Anolis sagrei: one gene and its partner. The protein of the gene in region 2 interacts with the protein of the main gene of each other region in a pairwise test. Links are inferred from orthologs where the notes say so. Each region holds a gene or a part of one and is shown on either strand. Other genes may lie near its edges.

Region 1 (7,417 bases), on a different chromosome or scaffold from region 2:
CAAATTTTATTCCGATCTCACAACAATCAAAATCTCCCATAAGCTTTAAGAAATGGGAGGAGCAGTAGATACAGTCAACTATTTCCTTCAGCTGGATGTATTTCGACAGGCATCCTTCGGGACCTCATGAGGTCTTTGTGTGACCTCTGCTGGTGATGTTATTGATGTTTGCCCAGCTAAGTGACAATAGCTGGATGCATTCTCTCAGTTCACATATGAGCCTTTATGTGACCTGTAGACTTATGAAGGCTCCATGAATTCCATAAGGCATGGAATACTGAGAGGTGGTTTTGCCAGTTCCTTTCTCTAAAACAGGCATGGGCAAACTTCAGCCCTCCAGGTGTTTTGGACTTCAACTCCCACAATTCCTAACAGCCGGTAGGCTGATCAATGAAATAGCTTCAAGGAAATAGCTAGATGTATCTACTACTCCTCCCATTTCTTAATGCTTAAGGGAGATTTTGATTGTTGTGCGGTCAGAATAGAATTTGTACCTTCATGGTACCCCCCCCAAAGGTCACAATGATGCAAGTTGTGTTGGAGCATGCAAGGATTCGGTTAATGCATGCATGTCAACTATAAAATAAGATGCATTAATCTGATTGGTTGGGCAATACCTGGGAAGATGGCTGAGCCCGGGACTTTTGGATACTGTTGCATTGTTGTTCAGGCTTGAGCTATGCAGGTGCTCAGGGAGAGAAGAAAAGAGAAGCAGAGAGAGACAGAGTTTGGAGTATGCTCTTGTTTCAGGAGCTGTTAGGAATTGTGGAAGTTGAAGTCCAAAACACCTGGAGGGCCGAAGTTTTCCCATGCCTATTCTAAAATATAGTCTACAGAAACTGGAATTCTCTACCAACACTGGAATAGCCATAGGCTGTCACAGAGGACTCAACCACAAATATCTATCTATCTATTTTAAAATGTTCTGGCGTTGAAGATTTGTGAATGAAAACATAGATGAAATTGGACTGGGTCATCATTTCAGAGTTAAAAGCCTTAGTGGCTCACCACAGGATAGCCAGCCGGCAAATTGGGATCTATAGAGTCATATGCCACCGCTTAATAAAGACCCTCTTAAGCCCGCCATACAGCCATTCCAAGGTTTGTGGAGAGTCTGGACATATGCCGAGTACAAATACTTTTTTAAAAATTGAAGGTCAAAGGTCTGCTGAGTTCCTAGGATTGAAAAATGCCTCACCCCAATGAAGTTGATTTCTTCCTCCTCTTTGGTTTGATTTCTGCTTCTTGTCCTGACTCAGTTGCCCGTTTTGTCATCCACATTGGGAGGATCCTCTTCTTAGCTGCTTCTGGAGATCCCATTTCCTCCTTACTCAAGAAGGATAGCATCAAGGGAAAATTAGTAGTACAGGGATGTAGGGATAACAAGAGAAGAAGAAGAAAAAGAGAAGCTAAAGAGAAGACAAGACATAAAGGGAAGTCAAGGGAGGAGGAAGCAAGCTTGTTTTCTGCTGCTCTGGAGACTAGGACGCAGAACAATGGCTTCAAACTACAGGAAAGGAGATTCCATTTAAATATTAGGAAGAAATTCCTAATTGTGTGAGCTGTTCAGCAGTGGAACTCTCTGCCCCAGAGTGTGGTGGAGGCTCCTTCTTTTGAGGCTTTTAAACAAAGGCTGGATGGCCATCTGTTGGGGTTGCTTTAAATGTGATTTTCTTGCTTCTTGGCAGGGGGTTGGACTGGATGGCCCATGAGGTCTCTCAACTCTATGATTCTATGATTCAGCTAGCGACAAGAATAACAGCATCTCTAATGATATTCAACGGATCTATCAGAAATGAAAAGTTATAGATTTTTTTTTTATTATGAAGAAGACAGCAGAGACAGGGTCAGAAGCGTTAGGGCTTTCTATTTTCCATTTCTCAATTTTTCTATATCCTTTGTTTCAAAACACTGTACAACCACTTTTCTATCCTTCTGTTTTAAATAGAAAAAAATACTCTTTTTGCTATATTTTCTTTTTTAACATCATAGAGACCTTTTAGTATTAGATAATAATGGAAGAAGGTAACTTAAGCGGCTGAGGGGGGGAAATGAATGGGCCTGAGGCCAGGAATTGTAGGAGTTGAAGTCCAAAACACCTGGAGGGTCAAAATTTGCCCATGCCTGATCTACACTGTAGAGTTGATGCAGTATGACATTACATCTCAATGCAACAGAATTATGGTGTTTGTAGTTTGGAGCCCCTGGTGGCACAGTGGGTTAAACCTCTGAACTTGCTAACCAAAAGGTCACAGGTTCAAATCCGGGGAGCGGTGCTTCTGCCAACCTAGCAGTTCAAAAACATGAGTAGATCAATAGGTACTGCTCTGGTGGGAAGGTAACGGCGCTCCATGCAGTCATGCTGGCCACATGACTTTGGAGGTGTCTACGGACAATGCTGGCTCTTCGGCTTTGTAATGGAGATGAGCACCAACCCCCAGAGTTGGACACGACTGGACTTAATGTCAGGGGAAAACCTTTACCTTTACCTTAGTTTGGTAAGACACCAACAGTCTTTGCTAGAGAAGGGTAAAGGCCTTGTAAAACTACAACTCTCATAATTCAATTGCCTTGGTAGTCAAAAGGGTGTCAAACTGCATTTATTCTACAGTGTAGATACACCCTCAGTGGGAGAAAGGAGTGCTGTAAATGACGGAAGTGCACTGAAGTTTTGAGCAAAGGTTTCTCACATCTCCATCCAAGCTGCAGATTCCACGATTAAAAGGGGCATGAAACTGATTTAATTGCATAGTGTTGATATACCCAAAGAATCAGCTACCCTTTCAACCCCATCATGAACAAACCCAAGAATAAGTAAAACCCCTGTTGGTTTGCTTTACCAAAACTCTAAACAATGATTTGCTTCCTTACCTGCTCTGTGCAATCACAAATGTTTGCCTCGTTCACCCATTCCAACCCACGTTGCAATTTTGGTGCAGGACTTCTCTCCAAACGTTAAAAGGAAGTAGCAAGCAGCCATCTCTGTGACGTCACGAGGGCTCCTCCCCCTCTGTCCCCCATTGGCTGGGAACTCAAGTTCTCACTCAAGTTCAAGGAGGAGCAAGCAATTCAAAACAAGGCATTAGCCCACTGACTGGCTTTTAACTACAGCTCCCAGAATCTTCCAGCAAGCACTGCCACTGGGAATTGTAGTTCCAAAAAAGTAATAGCCTCCAGCCGAATGACCAAATCTAAACTAACTGCAGGCGAAGAGATATTCATGAGATGTATGGAGTGGAGTCATGTACCAAATTGCAAATAATAACCAAAATGACCAAAAATTGAATATGATGTGAACTTTCAAGTCATTTCTGCCAGATTAATCCCAGAAAATTCAATCAGTACTTAAAGTTTGTTATGTTAGGCAAGTTAGATGCATCATTGGCGGGGTTCAGTGTGCCCTCTAGCTGTAGGATAAACTACAACTCCCACTACAGTGAGTAAAGTCCCCTCAAACCCCTCCAGTAGGTTGAGTTAGTCATGCGGGTTCTGTGTGCCAAGTTTGGTCCAAGTCCATAATCGGTGGAAGTCACAGTTTCTCTGGTCATGGGTGAACTATAACTCCCAGAAATGAAGGTGAGTTCCCCTCAAACCCCTCCAGTAATCAAATTTTGGCATATCAGGTAATGGGGGCTGTTTGCCAAATTAGGTCCAGTTCAATCTCTGGTGGAGTTCAGAGTGCTCATTGATTGTAGGTGAACTATAAATCCCAGTACCTACAACTCCAAAACGTCCAGGCCAATTCCCCTCAAAACCCACCAGTATTCAGATTTGGGCATATTGAGTATGCATGCCAAATTTGGTCCAGATCCATCATTGTTTGGGTTTCTAGTGCTCTCTGGATGTAGGTGAACTACAATTCCTATCAATCCCTCCAAAGACCTCCAGTATGTTTTGTTGGTCATAGGGGTTCTGTGTGCCAAAGTAGTTCCAGATCCATTGTCGGTGAGTTCAGAGTGCGCTTCTTAGATTGCAGGTGAACTATACATCCCAGTACCTACAACTCCTATAATTCATGAATTCTCCCCAAATCTCTCTAATGTGTTCAGTTGCTGATCAATTCCTCTGTTTGCTGTGTGCCACAGAAAATAATAAGAAAAGGTTATGGGAGAGGCAGTGGGTGGGGTCATGCAAATTCCACACCAATGAGAAGCAGAAATACTGGGATGCCTGTGGTGGAGGAAACACATAAAATCTAGGATGAAATTGTCCCCGTATGAAAGCTTTCACTTGGGTGGTGGGCAGTATGGTGTTGGAGGAAGACATTGGCAGGGCTCTTGTACATGTTAATGACACTCACCATAACCTGCAATGTCATTGGAGGGAGGGCTATTGGTGTCTCCTGAGAAGTGAGGGGACAGGAGCTTGTCTGTGTAAGTGGACAGCTCAGCCACATACACACATACATATTTTCACTTTTATGATGTGTATAGATAGATCTGGAATCAATTATTTTGTGCATATGATGCTCACTTGGTTTTCCATAAGGCAGTTTCTCACATTCAACAACACCTGGATGACCACATGTCCCTCGGCCCTACCCTAGTAGACTCTCAGCACAGGTCATGCCTTATTGAACTCCTAGGTTAAGGTAAAGGTTTTCCCCTGACATTCGTGTCCAGTCGTGTCCAGCTCTGGGGGGTGGTGCTCATCTCCATTTCTAAGTCGAAGAGCCGGCATTGTCCATAGACACCTCCAAGGTCGTGTGGCTGGCATGACTGCATGGAGCGCCGGAGTGGTACCTATTGATCTACGCACATTTGCATGTTTTTGAACTGCTAGGTTGGCAGAAGCTGCGGCTAATAGCGGGAGCTCACCCTGCTCTCCAGATTCGAACCTGCAACCTTTTGGTCAGCAAGTTCAGCAGCTCAGCGCTTTAACCCACTGTGCCACCGAGGGCTCCACTTAGCTGCTGCACAGACGTTTCATAGTGATAGAAACAACGCAGATGCCAAATGCAGTCCAATATTTATTTTCATAAGAAATGCAGGAACAGACAGAATACTGCTGGGCTTCCCTGCCCCCTTTGCTGGAACCAATGCAAATCTGCACCCACCTCTCAAAATAGTCCTGGAGCGTTATGTCCACGTAGTTCGGCAGGCCCAAGGGGGAAAAAATCTTTCTTTCTCTTTCTTTCTTTCTTTCTCTTTCTGTGTTGGTCCTCTTCAAAAGGAGTTTGGGATCAGTGCATGCCTGATAAGAGCATCCCTTATTTGAGGGAACTACTGTAACTGAAACTCTTAACTGGCAGTGGTTTGGCATCAACATCTTTTTTGTAAAAAGGTTTCTGACCTAGAGGGAAAGCAACGTTAAGACAAGTGGTTGGATTGCTCTTTCCTCTCTGCAGCTGCTTGATTCTAAATGGTTAATACTGGTCGACTCCTGATTCCCACCCCAAGTCCGTATCTTGTGCTTTCCTAGCACTGCAGTCTCCCTTAAGACTTCTGTGCCAGAAGAGTGGTTAGTTTGATCTTCCCATCCATAGAGGCTGTCAGGCAGGTCCCACAATCCATAGCTGTGCACCAGTCCACTGTGACCACCGGGGCCCTGTGACCGCCGAGGGAGAGGCAGCTCTCCAGGACCTTGTTATTGCTATTCAGCTGGAAGAGAAGGAAAGACAGACATAAGTCAAAATGTATCTAAAATATTTGGCCACCTTGATTTTTACTTTTGCCCAAGACAGTAGGCAAGAGAACCACCATGCTGGATGAAACCAATGGCCTTTTATGACGGACCCAAATCATGCAACTAATCAAATGAAACTGGACTGCATCTCCCAGCATCCCTTGCAATTGATTATACTACTTAGAGCTGTTTGGAATGGCATTGCAAACATATCTAGAGTGTTAGACAATTCACACCTCTGGTTTATGCAGTCCAATATTCTGTTCCCACTGGGGCCACCAAAATGCCTTGGGAAAGCCACAAGCAGGATGTCTTTATTATTTAATTATATGTATAGTAACATGGTGTGTGTGTATGTGTGTGTATATATGTGTGTGTGTGTGTGTGTGTGTATACACACATATATGGAGCCCCTGGTGGCGCAATGGGTTAAAGCACTGAGCTGCTGTGCTTGTTGACCGAAAGGTCGCAGGTTCGATTCCGGGTAGCTGTCAGCCCTAGCTTCTGCCAACCTAGCAGTTCAAAAACATACAGATGTGAGTAGATCAATAGGTACCGCTCCAGCAGGAACTTAACGGCGCTCCATGCAGTCATGCCAGCCACATGACCTTGGAGGTGTCTATGGACAACGCCAGCTCTTCGGCTTAGAAATGGAGATGAGCACCACACCCCAGAGTCGGACATGACTGGATTTAATGTCAGGGGACAACGTTTACCTTTACCTTTACACACACACACACACACACACACTTTAATCTTTAGAGTGGGAAGAATCAAGCTATTAAACCAATAAAAACATTCACATCAAAAGTTCAGTTAAACAGACAGAACAGACAACAAATAGAGGAATTATGCCTGCATTTTTCTAACTTTGGCGTCCTGGAGATTGTGCTCGATTCCAGCCACAGGGTGCTGCTGCTGCTGCTCCATCCTCTACAACAAAGAGCCCTTGATCACAGACTTCCTCCTTCCTTTGATGGCTGGCATTTTCTAGTATTTCCTTTATGGTGGCGTAAAATGCCTCCTTGCTTAAGCGGTGCCTAATTTCTCTACTCAAAGCTCACGGCTGTTTTCAAACTGCTTAGGTGGACAGTAAGCTGGGCTAAAGGCCGGGTGCTCAGCCTGACCCAGGCTTCAAATTGCCAACCTTTTGATTGGTAAGATCTATTGCTGGTGGTGATTAAAGCCCGGCCTGTTCATATTATACTATATTGTTCATATTATATTGTATCCTCACAGTTTTTGCAATATATATGCTAAGGTTTTGTGTCTTTACAGCAAAGCGGCCATGCAATTCTGGCCTTTCTAAACTTTCTCATAATGTAATGCTCTGGAGTGCCAAATAAAAAGCAAATTTATCTGGAGCTATGTTAAATGTTCCATAGCACTGCAGCATTTGGCTTCAATAAGAAGCTGTGTGGCCCTGCAAAACAAGGCTGCAGGGTAGAGTGGGGGAAATCAATAAGCATGCACACCAGCGATACCTCCAGTTTAACAAAGTAAGCCCAGCAGCAGTGCTAGACCAAGAATCAGACAAGACTGGCAATGGCTCTAGTTTTGTTTATGTTTTAGGGGTTTGGAAACGATCAAAGGTTAGAGTTCTACACTGGCTTACTTTAAAAAAAAAAAAAACATTTTTGCCCAAATGTCCTAAAAGACCCTCTGAAGGCACCACACATGCATAAATCCCAGGCAGTCTTAGGCCTAGGAGAGACCTTGATGACAGCAGGAAGTGACCCAGAAACTGTTAGAAATGGTTAAATTGCTCCTATGCCTCCAGATGTCGTTTGGG
Region 2 (6,889 bases):
ACAGCAGGAATGACAATTGTGAAGACTTCCTATTTATTTTTATTTTTTTTGGAAGGGGGCATTGCTCCTTGTTAGCTCTGATGGAGAAGGGTAATGGGAACTGGACTCCAGCAGGACACTCTTGATGCATCCATCATGTGGCATATGGAAAGCTAGATTATGTCGGTTCAACCAGGATGTAGTGTTGAAGAAAAGGATTGCAAGCCAGCAGAAAAATTTACAAAATAAACACAAGTTTGTCTCCTCTTCAGAAAGGTAAAGATTTGAAAACATAGCTATGGAAATTACCTGGATGTTATTAGCACTTGTCATTTTCTTCCTATGCTTAAGCTAACAAGTAATTGGAATTTTATATACCAGTGGTAGGTATGATGAACATTGCCAAATATGGTTGGATTGCCTCTCCCAGCATGATGGGAGCTGCACTCCAACAACTTCATTACTTCCACCTTATATGCACGTTTAGTTGGAACTGAGTTAGGCCTTATTGTACTCAACAGGTCTTGCTCCTGTTAAATAAAAAGGTGTCCTATCAGGGCTGTAGCCAGAAAAAAATTTCGGGGAGTTTTGAAAATTTCGGGGGGGGGGGGGTGGGTGGGTTGAAAATTTCGGGGAGGGGGGTTAAAACCTGCTTCTTAGCTCACGCTGAAGCAAAGAGCACAGCAGGGGCAGAGCAGCCTTCAGTAGCCTGCAGCTCCACCCCTTTCAACCACCCCCACCAAGTCTGGTCTCCTTCATGAGGGCCTTCAAATCTAACACCCCCCCCCCCCCCAAACTTGGTTGCTTCGCTACATCGGCTATTGCTGCAAGTAATGACAATGTGAATAAATTGTCGATATTTCTTTGAGATAGTGCTTGCAGTTCTGGAGGGACTCTTAATTTTCTGTGTCCCATAGACTTAGCATGGGGATTTGGTTAACCAGTTAAAATTCATGAGTAAACCAGGTTTTTTTTTTAACCTGAAAAATTGGGGGGGGGGGGGTTGAACCCCTAACCCCCCCCCCCCCCCCCCGCTACAGGCCTGTGTCCTATTATTATGGGTGACGGGAACAGCATCCTCTGTGTCTCTTCTGGTTTCCTGATCTTAATCAAAGCTTGAAATTCAGTGGAGTGTGACAGTGCACTGCACTTGTTTCCCCTGCAACCCACTCCACCTTTTTGCTTCCTTCTTTGCTGGGGGAAGTGCTGAGCATGACTTATGCCTGTGTATGCGCAGAATATTACTATAAGATAGCAGAGAAGGCAGACAACGCTGGGCATTCATTAAAAATCACCTTCTGTAAGATGTATATGGTATCCTCTTGTAATTTCCAGTGCATTGTCAAAATTCCTGGTATCCTGTCCATTTCATTCAGTTGAGACTGAGGTGAGTGAATATGTGGGGGAACAATAAGGGGGAGAGGGAAACTATGCAGGGTGGGAAGTCAGTGTGAGGGTGAGAAGGGAACCACAGAGACCTCCCTTATGTGTGAGTGGCTTTATATTAGTGCGAATAGGGTTTTTGCATCTGAGATGGTTGGTATGTACAGTTTTTTATATGAGTGTGTTGATTAGTGTGGGTCGCTGTTATCACTACAGGCAAAGAAATCGATTATGAATGCTTGCAGAACTTGCTGCCATGCTTACCCATGTAAATTTATCCTTCTCATGCCTAAATAGACTTGTATAAATTGGTTGTGTGTGCTATGCTGCTCACATTGACATTTCTGAGTGAACATGTAGAGGTGTGTTTTGTGGTGGATGGAGATGCACAGTGGATTGTGAAGGCTTTCCAAATTGGAGGTTGAGATAGGATGGGATATAAAAGCCCAAAATAAATAAATAAAGAATAAATAAAGTTAGCATTTTGGATTTTTTAAAAAATAATTTCAGGCATTGATTTGGTGGGAATTATGGATGCATTTCCCTGTTTGGAAATCAAGACTGCTCCCAGATTAAAGTGAAATTAGGGGACTTTTCTTTGTCATTAACACCGAGGGCCCTTCCACACAGCCCTATATCCCAGAATATCAAGGTAGAAAATCCCAAATAACCTGGGAACCCTTCCACACAGCCCTATTAACCCAGGATATCAAGGAAGAAAATCCCACATTATCTGAGCGTGGACTCAGATAACCCAGTACAAAGCAGATAATGTAGGATTTTCTTCCTTAATATTTTGGGATTTAGGGCTGCGTGGAAGGGCCCCAAGAAATGGAGCAAGCCACATTCAGTTTAGCTGACTGTCTTCTACTGAGTGAATACATTCGTGCGTCCCCCAGGCAACGTTTCTCATAAACGGCTACTCTTTCCAAATCCAAAAACATTGCTTTTAAATAACTGTCTTCTAGTGAGAAGGTGGATGCTGAGAGTGAGGTGATGGAGGAAGCCATGGGTACATCTACTCTGCAGAATCAATGCAGTTTGACACCACTTTAACTGGCCTGGCTCAATGCTATGGAAGCCTAGTACTTAGGGCCCTTCCACAGCCCTATATCCCAGAATATCAAGGCAAATTATCTGCTTTGAACTGAGTTATCTGAGTCCACACTTAGATAATGTGGGATTTCTGCCTTGATATAGGACTGTGTGGAAGGACCCTCAGTCTGTACTCTTTGGCAGATAAGGCCGACAGAACCACAATTCTCCAGAATTCCCCAGCACTGAGCCATGGAAGTTAAAGTAGTATCAAACTGCATTAATTCTACAGTGTAGGTATATTCTAAGCAAACGGATAAATTTGACTAAAACAGTTGAATTTCTCTATGACAAGCCTACTTGTCATAGAGAAATGACAAGTATTAACCAAGCATGGGCAAATTTGGGCCTTCCAGGTGTTTTGGACTTCAACTCCCACCATTCCTAGCAGCCTCAGGCCCTTTCCTTTTAAGTGTCCGAGAGGGAAAAGGAAGGGGCCTGTGGCTGTTAGGAATTGTGGGAGTTGAAGTCCAAAATGTGATGCGGCAGCAAAAAAACCCAATGGGATTTTGGCCTGCATCAATAGTATAGTGTCTAGACCCAGGGAAGTCATGCTAGCCCTCTATTCTGCCTTGGTTAGACAACACCAGGAATATTGTGTCTAATTCTGGGCATTGCAATTGAAGGAAGATGTTGACTCTCAGCTGGAATGTGTCCAGAGGAGGGTGACTGAAATGATCAAGGGTCTGGAGAACAAGCCCTATGAGGAACAGCTTAAAGAGCTGGGCATGTTTAGCCTGAAGAAGAGAAGGCTGAGAGGAGACATGATAGCCATGTATAAATACGTGAGAGGAAATCATAGGGAGGAGGGAGCAAGCTTGTTTTCTGCTGCCCTGGAGACTAGGATGTGGAACAATTGCTTCAAACTACAAGAAAGGAGAATTCCATCTGAATATGAGGAAGAAGTTCCTGTGAGAGCTGTCCAGCAGTGGAACTCTCTGCCCCAGAGTGTGGTGGAGGCTCCTTCTTTGGAAGCTTTCCAACAGAGGCTGGATGGCCATCTGTCGGGGGTGCTTTGAATGCAATTTTCCTGTTTCTTGGCAGGGGGTTGGACTGGATGGCCCATGAGGTCTCTTCCAACTCTTTGATTCTATGAAATGTTTATGCTTTATTACAATGTTGCCCCTCACTCTGTGATTCTATGAAAACACTCAAAGGGCCCAAGCTGGCCCAGGCCTGGCATTAACTCAAGCAATCAACATAAATTAGAACAGAGAATCCAGTTACTGTATCGCGGGATTTGATCACGTTCTCGCGATATCACGTTTCATGTCTATAGAGCGAATGGAAGTTAAGAATCACAAGGCTAAGAACCAAGAATAGGAACGTATCGCTGTCGTTATTTTTGTGGAGACGGCTGGAAAAGGATACAGGCGGTTTCCTGGCCCCAACGTACGGGGAAACGCTAGTATTTTCAACTGACGTTTCCGCGCATTTCTCTCTTGGAAGGTGTGAGAGAGAACAAAAATGGCGCCCATCCTCTAACGCTCCGTAAGAGTCTATGTGGCGAAAGCAGCTCTGGATTCCCGTGGAGATCACAGCTCTCGCGAGAATTCGCCGACAGCTGACTGAAGGCAAGCGGGGCTGGGGCTAAAATCCCGGAAGGTTCGGAAGCGGCGGCCGTGGGCTCGCGCGCGGGGTGGGTCTGCGCGTGCGCGGGTTTGCGCGGGAGCCAGGCAGCAGAGGGGTCTTCTCCCTTTCCTTTTCCTGCCTTTGATCTGTTTGATCTCCAGTTTAAGCCTCGCTCACAGGCCTTTCCATCCCTGGGTTTTCCCTTATGGGTGTATCTGCACCACTTTGGCACCACTTTTAACTGCCATGGCTCAATACTGGGGAATTCTGGGGTTTGTCTGACTTTTAGTTTTTTCTAAAGAGTGCAAACTGCAAATCCCTGAGCCATGGCAGTTTAAGTGGTGTCAAACTGCATTAATTCTACAGTGTAGATGCTCCCTGGGTTAACATGCAAGAGATTCTGCTATATAGGGAAAGGCGCTTCATTAGCAGTCATCGCCTCAGTTCATCTGTGGTGTTTACTCTTTAATTTTTGCCTTCTTTTCCTTAATTTCAAATAGACACAGTTTAATTACATGCCAGGGAGTCAAGTTTGGCTCTAACACAGGCATGGGCCAATTTGGGCCCTCCCTCCAGGTGTTTGGGACTTCAACTCCCATCATTCCTAAGCGGCTGAGGGGGAAAAGGAAGGGGCCTGAGGCTGTTAGGAATGATGGGAGTTGAAGTCCCAAACCTCTAGAGGGAGGGCCCGAATTGGCCCAAGCCTGGTATATATAATGGGATATGAGCATCCACAGATTGTGGTATCCTCAAGGAGTCCTGGAACGAAATCCAAATGGATACCAAAGGTCCGCAGTCCATCCTCCGTAGGTTCTGCATCCGTGGGTTCGATCAACCACTGGTTGGAAATATTTTAGAAAGTAATTCCCACATACAGGCAGTCCCTGAGTTACAAACATCCAACTTTCGAACAACTCCTACTGAAGAACAGAGGTGAGACAACAGGAAGTGAGTGAAATCTACCCCTTGGGAGGGAACTTCACTCCTGAAAGAGTTATTATTATGGGGAAAAAGGTGTTTCCCCTGAAGCTTTATCACCAATCCTTGTTTCCTCAACAAGCCACATTTTTCAAAATTAGATCCAACTAATGCTATACCCCATACCAGAAATACTATATTGACTTGATATCAATATTGGAATACAGTTAACAATTGCAAGACAAATTTAATTTTAATTTCACAATCCTATTGTCTTATAAAAACAGTTTTGTGAATCCACTATGCAATCTTGGCCAGTTTGTTGTCTAAGGCTGTCTTGGCTGGAATCACTGGGTTGTTGTGACACTTGCCTCAAACAGGCAAGGGTTTTTTCTCCCACTCTGTACATTATTCCAAAGATATATAAATCCCACTTGCCCAATTTCCAACAGACCTCACAACCTCTGAGGATGCCTGCCATAAATGCAAGCAGAACGTCAGGAAAGAATGCTTCTGGAACATGGCCATACAGCCTGGAAAACTCAAAGCAACCCAGTTCTTGTCAGTTGATTGAGAGTTCCAGTTAACTGTACAGCCACCATATTCAGTGGTGGACCAGTATCTGTGACTGCTTTGATTTACTTCCAAGAAAACATGTCCACTCAGAGTGAGATTTTATGGTCTTCTTTGGCCAGAAGTCCAATAGGATTTCTTATTTATTTAGTTATTCAACCCCCGAAGGGGGACTCAGGGTGGCTTACATTTGGCACAATTTGGTGCCATTAAATATAACAAAGCAATACAACAACAATTAAAACAATAAATAGAACATTAATTGAAACAATAAAACAGTATTAACCACTGTATCACCATTCCAGTCAAATTCCATATCCAAAGCACTATTTATGCCTGCTGTCCAAAAGTCTGGTCCCAAAACCATGACTTCAATTTCTTCCTAAAAGACAGGAGGGATGAAGCCGATCTTACCTTGTTGGGAAGCGAGTTCCACAGGCGAGGGGATACAGCCGAGAAGGCCCTGTCTCTTGTTCCCGCAAGATGTATTTGCGATGCTGGGGGGGGAGCGAGAGCAGGGTCTCCCCAGATAAACTTCAAGGCGGGACATAGAGAGAGATGCATCCAGACAAGTAAGCTGGGCCAGAACTGTATAGAGCTGTATAGGTCAAAACCAACACTTTGAATTGAGTTGGGAAGTGGATCGGCAGCGAGTGGAGCTGACACAACAAGGGGGTGGTGTTCTCCCTGTATGTCGCTCCAGTTAGTAATCTGGCTGTCGCCTGTTGGACTAGCTGAAGTTTCCGAACAGTCTTCAAAAGCAGCCCCACGTAGAGTGCGTTGCAGTAATCTATTCGGGATGTAACAAGAGCGTGGACCACTGTTGCCAGATCAGACTTGCCAAGGTATGGGTGCAGCTGGTGCACAAGCTTTAACTGTGCAAAAGCTCTCCCGGCCACCGCCGAAACTTGGGGTTCCAGGCTCAGCTGATCCAGGATCACTCCCAAGCTGCGAACCTGTGTCTTCAGAGGGAGTGTAACCCCATGCAACACAGGCTGTAACCCTATGTCCTGTTTGGCCTTTCGACTGACTAGGAGAACCTCTGTCGTGTCTGGATTCAATTTCAATTTGTTAGCCCTCATCCAGTCTGACACAGCACTGGTTCAAGGACTGAATAGCCTCCTTAGTAACGGATGGGAAGGAGTGACAGATTTGGACATCATCTTATCCATGGTTTCATGTATCATGCTGTATTTCTTAATAAATAGTGAGTTATTAGAATTCCTCCCCACAAGATAAGTGGTATTGAATTGAAAAGAAGCTTTAAAAAATGGGATAAAACGATGAGGGGATTTGTTATAGTTTTCTGTTGCCTCTGTGTTCAGACCCAGTATAGCTTTGGATGCCATCTATTACCAACAAAGAGAAA

The links.
Region 1: the proteins of ERCC6L2 (region 2) and CYREN interact in binary tests that used the Homo sapiens proteins (3 or more experiments, as listed by UniProt). The two-hybrid records come from large-scale screens. The link is inferred for Anolis sagrei from reciprocal best matches to the Homo sapiens genes ERCC6L2 and CYREN.

What each region holds. Positions count from the first base shown.
Region 1 is NC_090025.1:158,237,116-158,244,532, reverse strand, and holds the start of CYREN (cell cycle regulator of non-homologous end joining), read right to left. Parts: upstream 3,011-7,417; 5' UTR 2,872-3,010; intron 1,331-2,871; 5' UTR 1,321-1,330; coding exon 1,199-1,320; intron 1-1,198. Other genes in the region: WDR91 (WD repeat-containing protein 91), read right to left, coding at 5,436-5,600. UniProt on the Homo sapiens protein: Cell-cycle-specific regulator of classical non-homologous end joining (NHEJ) of DNA double-strand break (DSB) repair, which can act both as an activator or inhibitor of NHEJ, depending on the cell cycle phase.
Region 2 is NC_090022.1:231,019,033-231,025,921, forward strand, and holds the start of ERCC6L2 (DNA excision repair protein ERCC-6-like 2), read left to right. Parts: upstream 1-3,872; 5' UTR 3,873-4,062; exon of another isoform or gene 4,063-4,096; intron 4,097-5,774; exon of another isoform or gene 5,775-6,365; intron 6,366-6,889. UniProt on the Homo sapiens protein: Promotes double-strand break (DSB) end-joining and facilitates programmed recombination by controlling how DNA ends are joined in a spatially oriented manner during repair.